Linked DNA regions of Macaca fascicularis. The protein of the gene in region 1 purifies or fractionates together with the protein of each later gene. This does not show direct contact. Links are inferred from orthologs where the notes say so. Each region holds a gene or a part of one and is shown in the gene's direction. Other genes may lie near its edges. The genes, in order: ZEB1 and CTBP1.

The links.
Region 2: the proteins of ZEB1 (region 1) and CTBP1 purify together in Homo sapiens (affinity purification with mass spectrometry; 9 studies listed by BioGRID and IntAct, counting the BioPlex papers as one, with this or other methods). This does not show direct contact. The link is inferred for Macaca fascicularis from reciprocal best matches to the Homo sapiens genes ZEB1 and CTBP1.

The regions. Positions count from the first base shown.
Region 1 is NC_088383.1:32,073,057-32,081,799, forward strand, and holds the start of ZEB1 (zinc finger E-box-binding homeobox 1), read left to right. Parts: upstream 1-3,953; 5' UTR 3,954-3,972; coding exon 3,973-4,030; intron 4,031-4,252; exon of another isoform or gene 4,253-5,431; intron 5,432-5,932; exon of another isoform or gene 5,933-6,261; coding exon of another isoform or gene 6,262-6,268; intron 6,269-8,743. UniProt on the Homo sapiens protein: Acts as a transcriptional repressor. Inhibits interleukin-2 (IL-2) gene expression. Enhances or represses the promoter activity of the ATP1A1 gene depending on the quantity of cDNA and on the cell type.
Region 2 is NC_088379.1:1,340,304-1,348,838, reverse strand, and holds the start of CTBP1 (C-terminal-binding protein 1), read left to right. Parts: upstream 1-2,695; 5' UTR 2,696-2,870; coding exon 2,871-2,910; intron 2,911-3,095; exon of another isoform or gene 3,096-4,230; intron 4,231-8,535. UniProt on the Homo sapiens protein: Corepressor targeting diverse transcription regulators such as GLIS2 or BCL6. Has dehydrogenase activity. Involved in controlling the equilibrium between tubular and stacked structures in the Golgi complex.

The DNA.
Region 1 (8,743 bases):
AAAAATGTTATTCATATTCGTAAGTAATATTAGTAATAGAAACTACAGTCTAACTTCTATGGAGGCAGCCTTTGAAAGAAATCCTTTTTAATTATTGTGACTTCATGGAAAATACTAGTTTTACTTTTTGGATGTTCACCGACATCCTGCAAATCTCTTTCTCCATATATTTATACTTACATCTATCTCTGTATTAGACACGTTCCTGAAAAATCACCCCCTAAGTAAGAAACTTCATGTGTTAACATTTCATTGACTTATATTAAAAATAGGAGCCTCATTCCCCAGAGGGGTAAGTACCATTTTGTGGTAAACTATGTAACAAAATCAAAAAGTATGGAGAAAACATTTGTCCCTGTGATACCTCCTGGGAGGCTGTATTCGAAGGGCTGGCATGGGTCCTATGGCCAACTGTGGGTTCTGCATCATCCTGTAGTCATGTTTCCTTCCTGACTCAATGACTGCAGAATTTGGTGAGACTGCAACAGTGAAATGACCATTGCCCTTCTTTGTTCCACGGTGAACCACAAATCCAGAATTACCGTAGGTCAGGAGCCATGGTCAGAGCCAAGAATTGAGTAGCGGCTTTATGGGACCTCTAAATTCTGTACTTTGAGGGATAACATGTATCACATTCTTTTCCTTCAAAATCTCTAAGATTAAAATTAGGTATTGAATTCAAGAGTTGCATTTACATGCTATCCTTCCATGAAATTAACCAACTTTAAATTTCGATGAAGACTAGAGAATTATACATTGCACTTCTCAATGTGTTTTGGAAGAGGTATGTGGGAATGATATGCTTCATGTGGATCACCATGAAATCTCTACATTTTAAATTTAAGATAATTTTATGTCAAATTTTATCCTAATTTATACATGATTCATATATGAAAAGCAAATAGCAGGTGCAAAGGGTTTATGAAAAATTTATAGAAAAAACTCAGTATTGGAACTATTTTATCCATTTACATTTTACCCGTAAATTTGGAAGTTAGTATAGCAATTCATTTTTAGAATATCTTCCCTTCAGCATACATAATCCCAGTGCTCAGTAGCAGCAGAGTGTTAACATTTCATTGACATATTAAAAATAAGCATATATATTGCATGTATGCTATATGACAGCACTACAATTACTAAAATCAAGAATGCAGGATACATGTTAAACTCATATATTAGTATCCCCTACCATTGGATTTGAATAAGCCTAAATTTTAATAATCTTCTTTTATAAATAGATTCTAAAGACTTTTCCCCTATTCTTTAGTTATATTTAAGAGATAAGAAGCAACCATCACACATGCATCATGTTTAAAGCAGTAATTTATTCTGAGATTTACTTTCATCTGTTTTCTTTCCAGTCCAGATATCAATATTTTCAAGAACATTACAGTATAATAATCAAACATTAAATTCATAATCTACATACTTATCAGAAGCTTTTACAAAATGGAAATTTTATGTTAGAAGATTTGGGCTACCAGTAATATTCACTGTGCATATTTTAAAAATAAGGTGAAAAGAGTTCATTGTTTAGGGAAAATGATTGTGGAGAAACTAAAATCACGAGCAATTTTAGTCTGGATATTAATGACAGTAATCACTTTCACATCCATGACTCTAGCTGTTCCTAAGGACTAAGGGGATGAAGGCAGATTATGTATCTTACTGTCAAGAACAGGGTCAGAAAAGGTCAACAATATTAATTTAAGAAATGTTTATTAAGCACCTACTATTGGCTACATACTCCACTAGGTGTTGAGGACATAGAAATAAGAAGAAAAAAAAGTTGCCTGAAAAGGTACTTGTCCACAGAGTCTGGCCTAAACTAACTAAACCAGAAGCCACTAAAGGAAGAAAATGACTTCTGTTTGTCTCTTCACTTCATCTCTTTACGAGGTGAGAATGAACACTGAAGGAAGCTGAGAGGGGAGGTATAGGCCAGAGAACATGAGAAAATGCTATTTGTAATACTTCCTAAGTTTAAGAGTAGATAAAATGTGTGCTAGAGTTGGAAAGTTTTTTTTTTTTTTTTCCTTACTGTGGGGGCAATTCCATAGTCTATGACCTGATTCAGTAGGCGACTGAAAAACATTGTACAACTCTTAAAAAGGGAGGAAGAGCTCACACTTAACCAAGCAAAGGACACCGTGTTGACATGCACAAGTTTCGGTTAACATGGTATCGAGGACAGCGAGGACTGCCTGTACTTAAAATGATCATTAAGACTAATGATTCTAGTTTTGGCATTGAGGATGAATGCAGATATATAGTCATCGTGTATAGCAAAGAATATTTACAGTCACATTTCATGGACCAATAAATAATGCATTTACTTCTCAAAATGCCCAAGAAAATGCGGGAGAGAAAATGTTCATCTACATTCAAGATTAAACTTTCTAACTTTAAATCACCAGACTTCAGTTGTAAATTTATTTCAGTTGAAAGGTTTGAAGACATTATTAACGAATATTCTAAAATTCCAGAAAGTGTTCAAAAGATAATTTTAACCTAATAAAAAAATCCTGCCATGATGTGGCAAAAATTGTAAGCATAAATTTATTGAGCACCTATTATGTGTCACTGTACTAGGTGATGTACTACGTTATTTCCAATACTCTGGTCATGTTTCAGTTTTCTCCGTTTCTCTATCAATAACCCCTACATTGTTAATTTATAACTATAGTATTTGGCATACAGCTCATTTATTCCATAAAGTTGGTCCCAAAGACGTTTCCTTATTCGAAGGAGGTGGGAAGCAGGAAGGAAACCTAAATCTAAATTCTACTGAACACTGAAGACAACTTTCTTGATATTTGTGGTTATCTGCGTGGTCTTTTCAGAAATCCCCAAACTTGTACCAAGTCAAGGATAAAATAAGATAAAATCAGCAATCTGTCAGGTTCAGAGATCACATCTGTCAGCCGATGCTTCTTGCCTTAAGGTCCTGCACAGCGATGACCGCTAATTTAGGAAGGAATTCATGGCCTGTGGATACAGGCTTAGCTCTGAGTCCTGCCGCCTAGGATCCCAGGGATCTATGCGAGGAGGAGGGCGGGGAGGGCGGACCGGGTGGGGGAGGCCGAGGTGACAGCAGGTGAGGGCCGGGTGCCGATGGGGAAGTGAGACAAGCACCGTGTGGGTATTACTCATTCCGCTCTACTAACGAGGCTGCTGGCAAGCGGAACTTCTAGCCTCTCTTTCAGTCCAGCTGAAGTTCAATCTCATTGAAGTCACTTCCCATCCTGGTTCGCTTGGGGGGAAACCGGGCGTCCCTGGAAGGGAAGGGAAGGGAGTCCGGGCTGCGCGGGTCAGGTAGCCTCTCTCCGGGCGCCGCATGTCCTCGCCGTCCCCGAAACTGCCCTTCCCCTCTTCAAGGGAACTCCCCGGGGAGTCCAGACCGCGATCCCTTTCCTTGGCCCCGGGGTGCGCGGGGCTGACACGCGAGGCGTGGGACTGATGGTAGCCCTGCCTCCAGGAAGCAGGCAGGCGGGGACCTCTGGGCGCTCGGAGGGGCAGCTCCGAGGGCACAGGGTCCAGAGAGAATCAGCCAGATCTCTCCCTGCCCAGGGCAGCCGCGGCGGGTGTGGCCAGCGCGGAGGCAGGACGCCGCCGAGCCTCCAACTTTACCTTTCCAACTCCGACAGCCCGTCGCCTTTCTGACCACGTCCCCACGGTTTCCCAACACCCGCCTCCCTCACCCCACCACACCTGAGGAAAACTTTTCCCTCGCCCCTCAATTCAAATTCACCAGTGCCCACGGTTGCCGCAAACCGCCCAGTCCCTAGCAACAAGGTTCCGGCCGTAGAGCGAGCGCCTCTAGGTGTAAGGAAGGTGATGTCGTAAAGCCGGGAGTGTCGTAAACCAGGTGCGGTGGGGAGGGGGGAGGGGTGGAGGCGGAGGGGTGGGGGGGAAGGGGGAGGGAGGGGGAGGAGGTGACTCGAGCATTTAGACACAAGCGAGAGGATCATGGCGGATGGCCCCAGGTGTAAGCGCAGAAAGCAGGCGAACCCGCGGCGCAATAACGGTGAGTGGCGGAGGGGACCGGGGAGCAGCGGAGTCAGGGGGAGCCGGGCAGCCGGGGCGCCCCCGGGGGTGAGAGGGGCGAGCCGGGCTGGGGGCGGCCGGGGCAGGGACGGCAAAGTGGAGTGGGAAAGTAGAAAGTAGTGCTCTCTGCCCCCCTCCGCTGCCGTCGCTGCCGGAGCCGCGCCGCGGCCGCTCGCTCTCCCTGAACCGTTATGTCTCTTACCTGGTCTCTCTCCGCCTAGCGGCTCCAGCCGCCCCTGCCGCCTCCCTGGACCGTTAGCCGCCGCCGGCGCCGCCGCATCCCCGGCGCAGGGCGGGCGGCCGGGACGCGCTGGCCACTTTTCTGGTCCCGGGTGGAGCGGCTGTTGCTTCTTTCGGCACTTTTCCCCACTCTTGTACCCTTCGGCGCCTCCCTCTGCACTTCCTCCCGGCCCCCTCGGCGGGATTCTCCCTCAGCGCCCAAGCACCCGGGAGCCGCAGAACAAACTTGTGCCCGGCGCTGACCGTGCAAAGTGGCTTCCGCGCGCCGCGGCCCCGGCTGGCGCCGTCGTTCGGGCCCCGCGACTCGGGCCGGGCTGTGGGCGCGCGGCGGGCGGGCGGCGGCGGGACGGGACGACCGCGGGTTGCGTGGGGTCCGTGCGCGCGTGTGCGCGGGCGCCGGCGGTGCGCGCCGCGGGCGGACAGGGCTTGGCCGGCGGCGGTAAAGTTGGGACCCGCGGGCCGGGCGCGCTCGCGGAACGGGGATTAGAGGCGGGGGCGCGGGTTCCTAAGCGCCCCTCCTTTCCGGCGCCTCCCGCCGCCGGGCCCAGAGCCCCGGCCTGGGGACTCCGCTACGAGCCCCGCGATTGGGGTCCACGTTTGGCGGGGCGCGGCGGGGAGGCGCGGGGACAGGGCAGGAAAGGCACCTACTTAACGCCACCGGGAGCCGCGCGGATGGAGGCGAGCTGGGCGGCGGGTGTGTTTGCGGAGTTGTTACCTGGGCTTAGAGACCGGGAAGCACCACAGACAGATCCCCCTCCCGGGGCAGACGCGGTCTCTGCGCCGGGATGGGCCGGTGTGCGTGCGCCTCTCGCTTTTCTCTTTCGCTTTTTGGGGAAGTTGTTACCTGGGCCGGACGCACGGAGCGCTGAAGCCGGATAATGGGGCTTGGATGGCGCTCTGGGTCTCGGGTGGAAGGAGGGTGGGGGGAGGGGGCGGACGGACCGACGGACGCGCGGGGCTGCTACTCGCGCCGCAGCTGCAGTGTTTATTGATTTGTGCTGCTGTGCCAGGGGAAACACACACCCCTCTGCCTGGCGTGAGAGTTAAAAAAAAGAGAGAGAGAGACACACAGCCCGAGGGATCGAGACCTGAACATGTGGTGGTGGTTGCACAGTCGCCTTTTCCAGTTTGGAGAGACGTTGTAAGTTGATTGTATTTCTGGTTATCTCGGGGCGATGCTGTGCTTTCTCTCCCTCTCGTGCAGCAGGGAAATGTCTGCTGATTGTTATTGTCTGGACAGTTCCTGTGGCGAGAGGGGCGAGACTTGTCCGCCCGGGGGCGGCGGGAGCGCGGGGAGAGCAGCCCCCGCCAGCGCCGCCCGGGTACCTGTTTGTATAATAATGGGCGGCAACGGCCCTGCCGCCGGCCGCAGCCCAGGCTATATAAGGAATTACACGTACATTTCGGACCGAGGGGCTCGCTTTGGTTCCTGCGTTATTTTTAAAACGACTTTTAAGAGAGGGGCAATAAATGCGTCTATAATGGGACCGCTGCAGCGTCGAGAAAACGAGGAAATACGTATTTAGGAGAAAACTCTCTCTTGCTCCCCCGCCCCACCCCCCGCGCCTGGGCTCCCTTTCTCCCTCCCCTCTGGGATGCGAAACGCGAGGTTTTGTAACCTTTCCTGGCAATTTTAGATTTTGTGTGGGATTTCCTGTCTAGAAGCAGATACGAAGATTTTTAAGCTGTTTCAAGATGTTTCCTTTCAATCCATAAATATGTTTTTAATATATTCGAGTCGACATTAAAATCACTGCTTTCATGAGTGATTTTAATTATTCAAATAAACACTTGCATTTTAAAGACGTATATTGATTATAATCGAAAGGTATTTTGGTATCCTCATTGTGGAGAGATGACTTGTTATAGCAAGGAGTGGAGCATAGGCTATTGCAATTTTAATTTCCTGTTTTAGCGTCAAATAGTGTGTGTTCTATATTGAGCTGTTGCCGCTGTTGCTGATGTGGCTTTATGAAAGGTAAGTTGGTTCGGAAAGAGCTGTTCGCTTTTTACCTTATTTAAAATGTTGATCGCCAGAGAAAGGGGCTTTTCTTGTTGCTGACGACATGTGTGTGACATGTGAGTCTGAACCACCCAGCGTCTGTGCAGCTGCTGTAAACATGTTTACCTGAACAGGAAAGAATGGATTTTTCTCCTTAAGATCCTGTGATATGAATATTACACTTGTAAGGCATATCAACAGATGACTTAAGGGGGGAAAAGCGATCCTGAAAGGTACTTGAAATCAAGAAGAAAAAGAGGTTCTTGATCGCTGCAGCAAATGGCAACTTGTGCAGGTAGAAAAAAGATGGTGTTTAGTTTTCTCCTGCATGTATGTCAGCCCCCTCCTGTCTGCTGCTTTCATTCTCAAGGGAGGGATTTATTTACCATGCTTGATGTCAGTGTTTTTCCTTTGTGTTTAATATTAGAAAAACAGATTTGCGTCTGTTTAGCACAAAACGTCTTGTCTGCAGTATGCATTACTCTCAGAAAACAAAAGGTGTTTAAGGTAGCACTGTACTACTACAGGTATCTTCCATTTTCATCACTTTTGGCTCTGTCCTTGTATTTCTTTTTGTTCTCAAATGCATTTCATCCATTGCTGGTGATTGTAGTCATGCTATTTGATTTAGCCTTATATTTTGCAAATTAAAAATGAAGTTATATTCCATTGTGTTGTGAAACCTCAGTATATGTGCTGGTTAATATTTCTTAGCAGTGCAGTCATATTTAAGTTGCAGATGTTTATTGGAGAGAATTGCCTGGCAAAATGTTAACTCTCAAATCTTTTTAATGAAGAAATACGTGATGTATACAGTGGAAGATTGTCATAGAGAGATACTTTATGTTGTTTTTTATATATGTAAATGTCTTATTCATTTTGAAATAAGATATGTGGATTTTGCTGCTAAGGCTTCTGTAAAATATTTTAATTTCCTTTCTGGAATATGTCTGAAGGTAAGATATTAAAGGGAGTATCAGGTAATGTAACTGACAGGGGTAAACCAGTTGGGTAAGGTTTGGCCAAAGCATCAAGCCTTGTGTGGTAACTTTATGATAATGTTAGTCATCCATAAAGGAGTGATATTAGAATTGCTGGAATTAGTTTTTACCATTTATAATTTCATGCTTTGTTGTGTTTTAAAAATCTGTCTTTTCTCTTTTTCTGCTTTCTTCTATGTGGTTTTCTTCTTCTTCCTTTTTTTTTTTTTTTTTTGAGAGAGAGAGAGAGATGTACTCTAGCTACTAATGACCACATGCTAATTAATTCTCTTTAGATGGAATAGCAGGTACATATCCTTCTGTCATCAGCACCATTTCCCCTTGCTGTCATTGGAAACCACCAGTAGAGGATGCTAACAAAAATGATTATTGGTGTAGTAGTATCATAAGTCTCTCTATCTACTGTGCTGATTGGGACCTTCAGTATAATTCTAAGTCTTATTGTTAATTAAAACTAGCCTTGGTTAAATTAGGCATAGGCATTTTCTAGTTTGCCAAAACTAGAAAGAAGCAGGACTGTTTTAACTTGAATAATTTTATAAATTTGAGTTATTTAAGTCTCTAATTGAGGTTGCTACTAATTCATTTTTGTTTTAGAGCAGTTGCATCACTCCTTATTTTAAAAAGGTTTTGTTTTATGTTCTTAGGTTTGGAGAAGAATATGTAATAATTGACCCATATTTATTTTGTGTATTTAGAATACTTTTTAATCATCCCTTTTTAAAATTAATAGTAAGATCCCTTAAAATACATATTTTAGATGTTAAAATACATCTAAAATGGTAAAAGTTTAAGAGTAGTAAGAATTACAATTGATTGATAATACTATAATTATTTTTATATAACTTATGTAGACTTAGACTATGGATGGGTTGGCAGAGAGCTACTAAAGGAGGTGGTAACTAGCAGTCACTCAGATGTTAGCGATTTTTAGATTTTATCTTTTCCTTCCCCTTCAGGTCTTTTCCTACTGGTAGTGCTCCCCGACCTCTTTAGTTAAGAATCAGTTATTGCATAGTCATACGTTTTAAATTTGTCAGTTGTAAATTAAGAATATAAGTTTGCTTTGAGATCTTAAATGCAGTAAAAAGTCTCTGTAGTTCGTTCGTTGCTGTATGGTTGTATTAAAATAACTCCTTTCAACAAACTATAAATTGCATATAAATAATTGCATGAGACAGTGTATTTAGTTATGTCTTTTCATTTTGTGTCCTTATAGGTATATTAATATAACTGTAAATTTTAAGCCTCTCATTAAGTAGAACATTAAAGTATTTATTTCCTTAATTATTTGTAGTGGTGTTTCTATAAATGCATCAATATCAGTACCATAATGGGATAGCCATAGTGTTTATCTTGAACTAAGTAGGTATTGAATTGCCAGGTAAGCCTGTGTTAATTTCTTATTTTAGGATGTCATGGTTATTCGTGTGTGTGTGTAAATAGTTTT
Region 2 (8,535 bases), on another chromosome or scaffold:
AGTGATCTACCTGGTTTGTCCTGGTGTCAAGTAACTTGGAGTTTTTCTTTCACACGTGGCTGGTACACAGGAGCACTCATAAATACCCGAGTTGAATAATATAGTCCATTGACCTGGAGTTGCATGAAGCAGCATTCATCCATCCAAAATGCCGATGCTTCTTCAGAATGTACTGAATTTTCCCCCAATCCTAGGTTGTCCCACGTGATGGACAAAAATACCCCGTGTGGGAATGAAGGCTGGCCGGGGGGAACCTGGTGCCCAGGCCTCTGGCATCCCCACCAAGGTGACTCTCCAGCAGCTCCTAGGACAGCCCATCCGTGTAGGGCAAACGCCACGAGACCCTCCTGTGTGCAGGCACATGACAGGCCCAGGCACAGGGAGGCAGGTGGGCAGGCACAAGAGCAGCCAAACACTGACCCTGGAGGGCGGGGGTCATCTGCTCATCATGGCAAGGACTGGAAGTGGGAGAGGCAGGCAGCGCCCACTGGGGTTGGGACGAGCTGTGCACACGGCTGGGTGCACACAAAGCTGAGGCTTCTTTGTGAGCAACACAGTCACATTTGGGTGTAGGAATCTTGGCTGGAGTTGCCCAACGTGGGGAGCAGACAGCTCTGCAGCCAGAATCACAGCTGGAGAAGGAAGCACTTGGAACAAGCCAGGACAGTGGGACGGGCCAGGGCCAAATAAGAGTCGTGATAACGCACTGACAAGTTGTGCAGAGGGACACTGTGCAGACGGAGGCCATGGGGCGTGCTGATGGGGAAGACGATGGATCCCTGGCTGGCATGCATCCCTCTCCGTTCTTAGTTGCCTGTGGAATTCCAGCGAGCTCTGCTCCAGCTACACTGGACATAAAAGTGCGCAGGAAATGGATCCTGGAGAGGAACTGCTCTTCTGGACTGAGCTTGCTGCTCAGGGCAGCCTCACCTACAGGACCCAAAGCCTTATGTGATGTTTGCTGGACACTCAGCCACGTGGCTGCCTGTTGAGCTCTGCCAGTCCACGTGGGAGCCAGGAATTTCTCCCCAGAAGCCTCTCCATTTTATTCACCAATGCCCAGTAAATCACAACCTGACTTGCTGCAGAGGATGGAGTGCCTGGGACCCGTCTGTCCCCAGCTTCCCTGGGGAAAAAGGGAGTGGCATGTCCCTGCTGCCTTCTGGGCTGCCTGTCCATGCAGAGCAGATAGGAAAGTCCAGTGAGGTCCCTGCCTGTGCACTCCACCAACCACATCATCCCTTCCCAGCAGCCTCACCTAGGCCCCTCCATCTGTGACCCCTTGTCCCCTGCACCGATGTCTGGCCTTGGAGGTTGCTGCTCATTTTTCTGGAATTTTCTTAGATCTCTGCAGGGCTGCCCCTCCCCCTACAAGGGCTCCACACGTGTTCCCTCCTTCATGACTCCCACTGGGCTTCCCTGACAGGGCCCCACCCTCCCCAAAGCTCTGGTGATACCTGCCAGGTTTCCTCCAGGCCACAGCTGGGCAGCCCGGTCTTAGAACAGAAAGTGGTACGCATGGCAGGCCCGACTGAGGGCCCAGCACTGTCAGTGGGGTCAGAGGTCTTCCCAGGCCTGGAAGGGCAGACATGGGCTTCTCAGGGCAGCCTAGGACGCGTCCTCACGAACCACAGCGAAACTAGAGCAGGTGTCTCTCGGATAGGAGTCTGCATCATTCCGTCTCCAGGCTGTGGTTTCTCAAATTATGCAACTATCTGATCATTCCAGTGTGCTCAGAGTAGCCACGCGCAGAGGCCCTTCCCACAACTCCCCACGGGGTGGATGGAAGCGTCCACTCGCGGCGCGAGGAATATCCCTGGGCCCCTCGGGAGAGTCTGCAGGGGCAGCCCCTGGGTGAGCAGGCCCGGTGCGGCCTCTCCCTGAAGGGACTTTCGGGCCCTCCCGGGTCGGGGCGTTTCCCGCAGCGGGCAGAAGCAGAGCTGGCTACAAACCCTACTCTTGTTAAAGGAGAAACGGGGTCGAGAAGGGGGTTCTCCAGCCCTGAACTTCCCGGGCCGGGAACAGCGCGCTGGGCCGGGCAGAACGCGGCCCCTCCCGGAGTCGGGGTCCCCCCCGGCTGGGGACGAACTGGGGCGGGCGCGCTTCTCCTCCCGGGGCCCCATGTGCGGCCGGCTCTTGGACGGTAAATCAGGGCTCGGGTGGGGGCGATGGGGGGAACCCGCGGCCTCGGTGCCCCTGGCCAGCCCCGGGGACAGCGGCACCGCAAGGACAAGTCTTCGGAGGCGCACGGGCCAGGCCGCGGGGCCAGAAGCGAGCGGGGGAGGGCGGCGGCTGGCGGGGCGGGAAGGGAGCGGGGCGGCCGCTGCGCGGAGGAGCGCCATTTACGTTCGGGTCCGTTCCGGGCGCTGACGTGGGCGACCCTGCCTCGGCTTCCGGGCCCGGCGCCGTCCCGCAGGGGGCCTCGGGGCGGGCGGCGCTCCTGCCAGCGGTGCTGAGCCCGGCCCGACCCTGCCCGCCTTCCTCCGGGACAGGCGGTTTAGAACGTGCGGAACACCGGGCCTCGGGCCTCCGCCGGGCTGCAGGCCCCGTGAGCTTCCCGCCAGGCTCCCGCCCCGCCCCGCAGCCGCGCCCGGCCGGGCGGGCCCTGAGCCGCCCGCGTGAGTCCGTGCGCCGCCCGCGCCGGGAACCAGGAGACCAACCGCGAGGCCCCGCCCGCGCGCGCCGCCGTGTCCCCGCCCGCGCGGTCGTCGGAGCGCGGCTCAGCGGCGCGGCGGAGGCTCGGCACGGCGGCGGCCAGGCGCAGGCGAGCGGGCGGAGCAGCGGACGGCACCGAGGCCGCCCCACGCGCCGGACTCGCGGCGGCGCAGCGCGCCGGAGTGGTCGGGGCCCGCGGCCGCTCGCGCCTCTCGATGGGCAGCTCGCACTTGCTCAACAAGGGCCTGCCGCTCGGTAAGGCCGCGCGCGCGCGCGTTTCCGGCCGCGGGCGGGGGCGGGGCGGGGCGGGGGCCGCGCGGGCGGGGGGCGCGGGGGCGGGCCGAGCGCGCGCCCGCGGGCCGCCGGCTTTGTGTGCGAGTGCGCGTGCGCGCCGTCGTCCGCGCGTGGCCGCGGTCGGGGGCGGGACCGCGGCAAGGGTCGTGCGCATGCGCGGGCCGCTGCGTGTGAGCGAGCGCCGCCGTGTGCACTCCCCGCCCGCGGCCCGCGCAGGTGACACAAAGGGGCCCGTGGGCCTCCAGGCTGCTCCACCGACCCCAGCCCCATGGGACCCGGGACGGCACCCCGAGTCCCGAGTCCCGATCCCCGGCCGCTACCCCGTCCCCGGTCACGACCCCGCGGCTGGGCCTGCGGGACCGGGGTGGGAGCTGCGCCGTGCGCAGCTACGGGTGTCCTGGGGAGCGCGCTCCCGGGCCACTCGCGGGAGCGCGCCCCCTCCCGCCCTGAGGCTGCCGGCGACCGCGGCCGCGCGCTGTGGGGGAAGGGGACGGGGCCTGGGCGCCGGGTCTGACCGTGGAGGAGGCCGCCGCCCTCAGACCGGGCCCAAAGCGCAGCCCCCGGCGGTGACGCGGGCGGTCCCCGGGGGTCTCCGCTCCCGCGAACTCCGCGAGGGCCCGGCCCGGCCCGGCGCCTCCACCTGCCTCTGCCTGTGCCGGCCCGGGTCCCGGGGCGCCTTCCTCGCCGGCTGCGGCCCCGGAAGCAGGGAGCACGGGCGGACGCCGGGCGCACGGCCATCGCCATCTTGCAGCGCCCGCATCCTGGGCCGGCCCGGGCCGCTCCGCGGAGCCTCTCTCTCCCTCGACACGGCTGCAAAGGCAGAGCCCGCGCGCTTGATCCCCGGGCCAAAGCTGGAGCGTTCTCTGGCGGCCTCCAAGGGCATCGGTGTCCAGAAGCCCGGCCGGGGCCAGAGCCCTTTTGCTGTAGTCTCCGCGATTGCCGGGACAGAATTCCCTTCCAGTGGGGAAAAGGGAAGGCGGTCGCGCCCTTCCCGGTGCCCTGAGTGGGGAGGTGAAACCCTGAGAGTTGGGGCTAGAGGGCCCGGAGCCAGGGCCGAGGCGGCGGGTGCGCAGGGTGCTCCGTGGAGCCCGAGCACCCCCAGCCAAGTCCTCTCCACCGTTTCTGTAGGAGCTCGGCAGGGAGCACAAGTCCGTCGGGAAGAAAACGGCGCTGGTGGCTGGGCCCGCGCCGCGGGCGTCCTCGCTGAGCTCCTAGCGCATGGCCTGTGCGCGTCTGTGTACCCGTCTGCGGCTTGGGGCAGGGTTGGGGCAGCACCGTGGGGTAACTATTTGCCGTTGCAGCTGAGGATGACAGCTGCGGTTTGGGGGTCTCTCGTTCTGTGTCCTGGAACTTTGTAGGGCGTGGCTCTGCCCTGGGCCTCAGCACCAGGTCTCCCCTGCCCGCCCAGGCCTGGCCACCTCCCTCTGGGGTCTGGGTTTGGCTCCTGGTTGGCACTGTCAGCTCTGCAGACGCGTTTTGCCCTCTGTGATTCTGTCGCCCATCTTTGAGCACCTGCTTCCATGCTGGCGTCCTCTGCAGAACTCTGGGAGGGACATGCAGTGGGGGCTGCATCTGCTCACTGCCCGGGGTGCCTTGTCCACCTGCCTGGCCGTTTTTGAGGTGTCTGCCATGTCCGCAGCATGTACTTCGTCCTGTCAGCCTTGACCAGGGCAGCTGTTAGTTCTGAGAGGTGGACATGTGGTTGGGAATGTCAGTGAGTAGGATCTTCCCTTTTGCACACTTGTCATTAACCTGAGAACATGGCAGTGGGGGAGGGGAGGTTTGGCCCCGGGTGCACGGGACTGTGGGCTGGTCCTGTCCGTCTGCTGAGTGGGATGGGCCTTGGCCCAGTCCTGTGGGCTTGGCGCAGAACCGACCCCAGCCACATCCTGGGGAGATTGGAGGTGCTGGCTGGTCCTGTCTGCCTCCTCCAAGGGCTGGGAGCCCCCCACTCTTTGGACGTTTGTAGTGTAAGGTTCCATTATCCAGCAGACAGCCACTGTTAACAGTCACTCTGTTAATAAGTTTTTTCTGGAGGAACCCTGGACAGAAGTAGTCACGCTCTGCAGGAAACGGGTCCCAGGCTCGAGAGGCCTAGTCTCTTCCTTTGGAGCTCAGAGGTGGCTGTTCAGCCACACCTGGCTCGCCTGGCAGTTTTTCTCCTCTGACTGTAACTAGCCCTTTCAACTTCCTGTGGCCACTGCCCCCAGAGTGTGACCTGGTCTGAGCTGATGGTGGCGTCCCTGAGCCAAGAGGCGTACGGCTGGTACCACTAGTGTTGCTGAGAACCCTTCAGGCAGCGTTCTGTGCCTGGCTGTGCCCTGGCGCTCCCCACGCAGTGCCCAAGTCAAAGGCGTGTGCCCTGTGAGGTGTTTACCCGAGTGACTCTCCTTCCAGAAGGACTTCTTGTTTTCCCCTCCACTCAGGGCTGGAGAGGGCTCCGTACGGGTGGTGCTGACGGTGCAGGCCTGGCTCAGGGCCCAGGGGTGGCCAGGAGGTGGTGGAGGCAGCAGGTGGTGTCCTCCGGGTTCTGTGGTTGAACTGCATCGCCTGAGGGAACGCTGGTCAGAGTACCGGGGTCCTCTGGTGGTCGCTGGATTTTGGTAGTTGTGGGTAGGAGCTCTGTGCTGGGAGTGTCTGGCCCCCCAGGTCCTCCATTGTCGGCTGCAGTGGCCAGGGCCCACTACTCTCCCCCACACTGGGTGGGGGTAACCCACAAGATGCCACCTGCATCACTGACCGTCCCTTCCAGAAGCCCGTCCAGCCACACACTCCATGTGGTATCTCCCACGAGGAAACGTTCAGTTTTTTCCTGTAAAGTCAGAAATCTCTTGGGTGGCCTTTTGTCAAGCCAAACATTAACCTTGAGTTGTCTCTCTGGGTGGCCAGGCGGTGCCAGTTCTTATGTGCGTTGAAGGAAGAGTGAGGATGGCCCTGAGGGAAGCCCAGTTGGTTTGGATGGGGAGGAGTTGGGGCTACGGCCCTGAGAGAGGTGTGGGTGGTGTTGGGACCAGGCCCCTTCTGCACCCTCCCCTGGCACCGCCATCAACTCCCCAGGCCTAGTGTGGCCCATGCCACCCTGCCCACCCATGCCACCCTGCCCGCCCATGCCACCCTGCCCCGCCACCCGTGTCACCCTGCCCACCCGTGTCACCCTGACCTGCCACCCATCTGTGGTGTGAGGGCTGCTGGGCTGCCCTGTCTGCATGGCTGGCGTGAGCCTCAGAGGCGTCTGAGGCTGCCTCTCGAGTGGTGTCATGTGTAGAGTGTCCTGTTGAGAAGGAGAGGAAGGGTGTAGCCCTGATACCCCACGCGTGGTAGGAGCCGGGAAGGTGGTGTTCTGGGGGTCCTGGAGCTCACAGGGCATGTGCATGTGCTCCCTGAATAAACAGGGAAACGTACGGCTCCACGGGTGTCCTGGAGAGGAATCTTGCTGGCAAATCCGTGCCTTTGATCGCAGCCCCTACACTGTGTCCTCTGAGCTGTGATGCGGCCCCACAGGCCCTGTGGAGTACTGTGGCTCCCTGGCTCACAGGGATGCCGTCGTTGGAGGTGCCGTAACGGCTCGTGGGTGACTTGGGCGGTGTCCGTCTGGGGTGCTGTCATCGGAGGACCTGTATCAGTCCATGGGTGACGGGCGGTGTCTGTCTGAGGGAGGTTCTGGTGGCCCCATGCTCTCAGCCCAGTGGCTCCACGCTGCTGTGTAGTCCTTCTTGAGGGCCTGCCTTCTCTGCCGTTGAAGGGCAGGGGCTCAGTTCCCTCTGGGTGGCAGGCGGCTGTATCTCAGGACCGGAAGGCTCCGGGTCAGGCTGTGCACAGCCTTCGTTCATGTCAGCTCCTGGCTGGGCAGCACAGGGGCCTCCAGGCCTGGACAGCCAAGGGGGGCATCTCACCAGTGCCCAGATGGCTGTGCTGGGGACTTGTGGCAGGACAGCTTTGTCATAAGATGGCCACTCGAGCCTGGAGTAATCAGGGCTTACGGGGACAGGGCGGGGTGAGGGCTGGTGAGACTGCCCAGCCTGAGGGTGCCCTTCTGGTGGTTGGGGAGCTCCTTCCTGGGCAGCGGCTTTAGGGGCTGCTGTGGAGAGGGAGAGGTGAGGTTGGTGAGGAGGGGCTTTTGGGACACACTGTCCTGGTAGAGGCTGTGGGGAGGGGAGCATACAGTTGGCCCAGCAGGGCTGGCCAGTGGAGGCACGTGGAGGGTTGGTGGCCGCCGAGCCTGGGTCTGAGCAAGCGGGGATGGAGACCAGGTACCGAGGCTGGGGAAGGAACGGGGGCAGCCGCTTGGTCCTGGCACATCTTGGGGTCCCCTGGGACTTCCTGGGAACCCCAGTGCCCAGAGACCCACTGTGGCTGTCTGGCGGGGGGGCAGGTCCCAGCCCGTGGTGACCCCCAGTGTGCCAGGGCAACCCTGGTCCCTCTCCAGAGTGGACCAATGCCCAGCACACACGTGGTTCAGGGCCGAGTGGGCAGGCATGGCCAACAGGAGGGAGGATCCAGCAAGCAGCTGGTGATGTGTGTCCAGAGACAGGGTGTTGACATGTGGCCAAGAGGTTCTGGGGTCATCAGGCCGCCACCGTGCAGCCCCCACCCCAGGACTTGATGGCTCCAGAGAACCTGGGGGCTGCTGCCCTCACCTCACCCCAATTTTCTTTAAAATGAATTTTTATTTTAGAACAGTCTTAGCTTTATAGGAAAATAGGAAGCTAGCGCAAGCTTCCCACGTGCGCTGCACTCACTCCCCTCGTGGGTCTGTTGAGTGCTTTCTTATAACGTAAGGTTAAGCGTCTGCAGGGTGAGAACCTGGAGACTGTCCTTGTGTTGCTGTGCTGAGAGCCGTGTGTGGCTGTGAGTTTTTGATGAGGAAAAGCAGTGTGGGTCCTGGGTTTGGACAGCGCAGGCCCCTCTGGGAGCCGAGTGCCTTCACCTCGGAGCGTGTGGGGGAGGTACAGAGCTGGAGCCCTTGACCTTGACCCAGCCAGGAAGGCCGTAGGAGGTCAGCTCCCTGGCGTGAGGTGCCCAGGGCCTCCGGCGTCACCCTGGGTGGGGGCTCCAGGACTTGGACGCTGGCTGTCAGCGGGGCAGGTGTGGCCCAGCAGGGGGCTGCTTTGTGGGTGCACTGTGGCCCCAGGATGGTGCAGATGGTGGGCAGACCTGCCCCAGGGCTGTTTCTGAGACAGAGGCCCCTGGAGGAGAACCAGGTGCTGGGCCTCAGGTGTCTGTTCTGAACTGGGGCAGCCTTGGAACAAGGAGCCACAGGAGGTCCCTGTGGCACGGGGCCCTGGCAGGGCCACCCCGGGGAGTGCAGGGCCACAGGAGTCCTGCCGCAGGTTCCTCGGCTCGGGAGCTCACGGCCTCCTCACTGCAGAGTCCTTTCAGGAGGGCCAGGGTGGCCTTCCCACATCTGCTTCCTCCTCAGAGACACAGGTGTGGGTACATACTGGCCAGTATTGATAAGCATTGAGTGGTATTGAGGGGTGTCGATGAGGCTCCAGGAGCAGCGGCCGGCGCCGTGGTGCTGTGGGCAGTATTGATGAGTACTGGCTGGTGTTGAGAGTTTGACTGGGCGTGGGTGGCGTGGTGCTC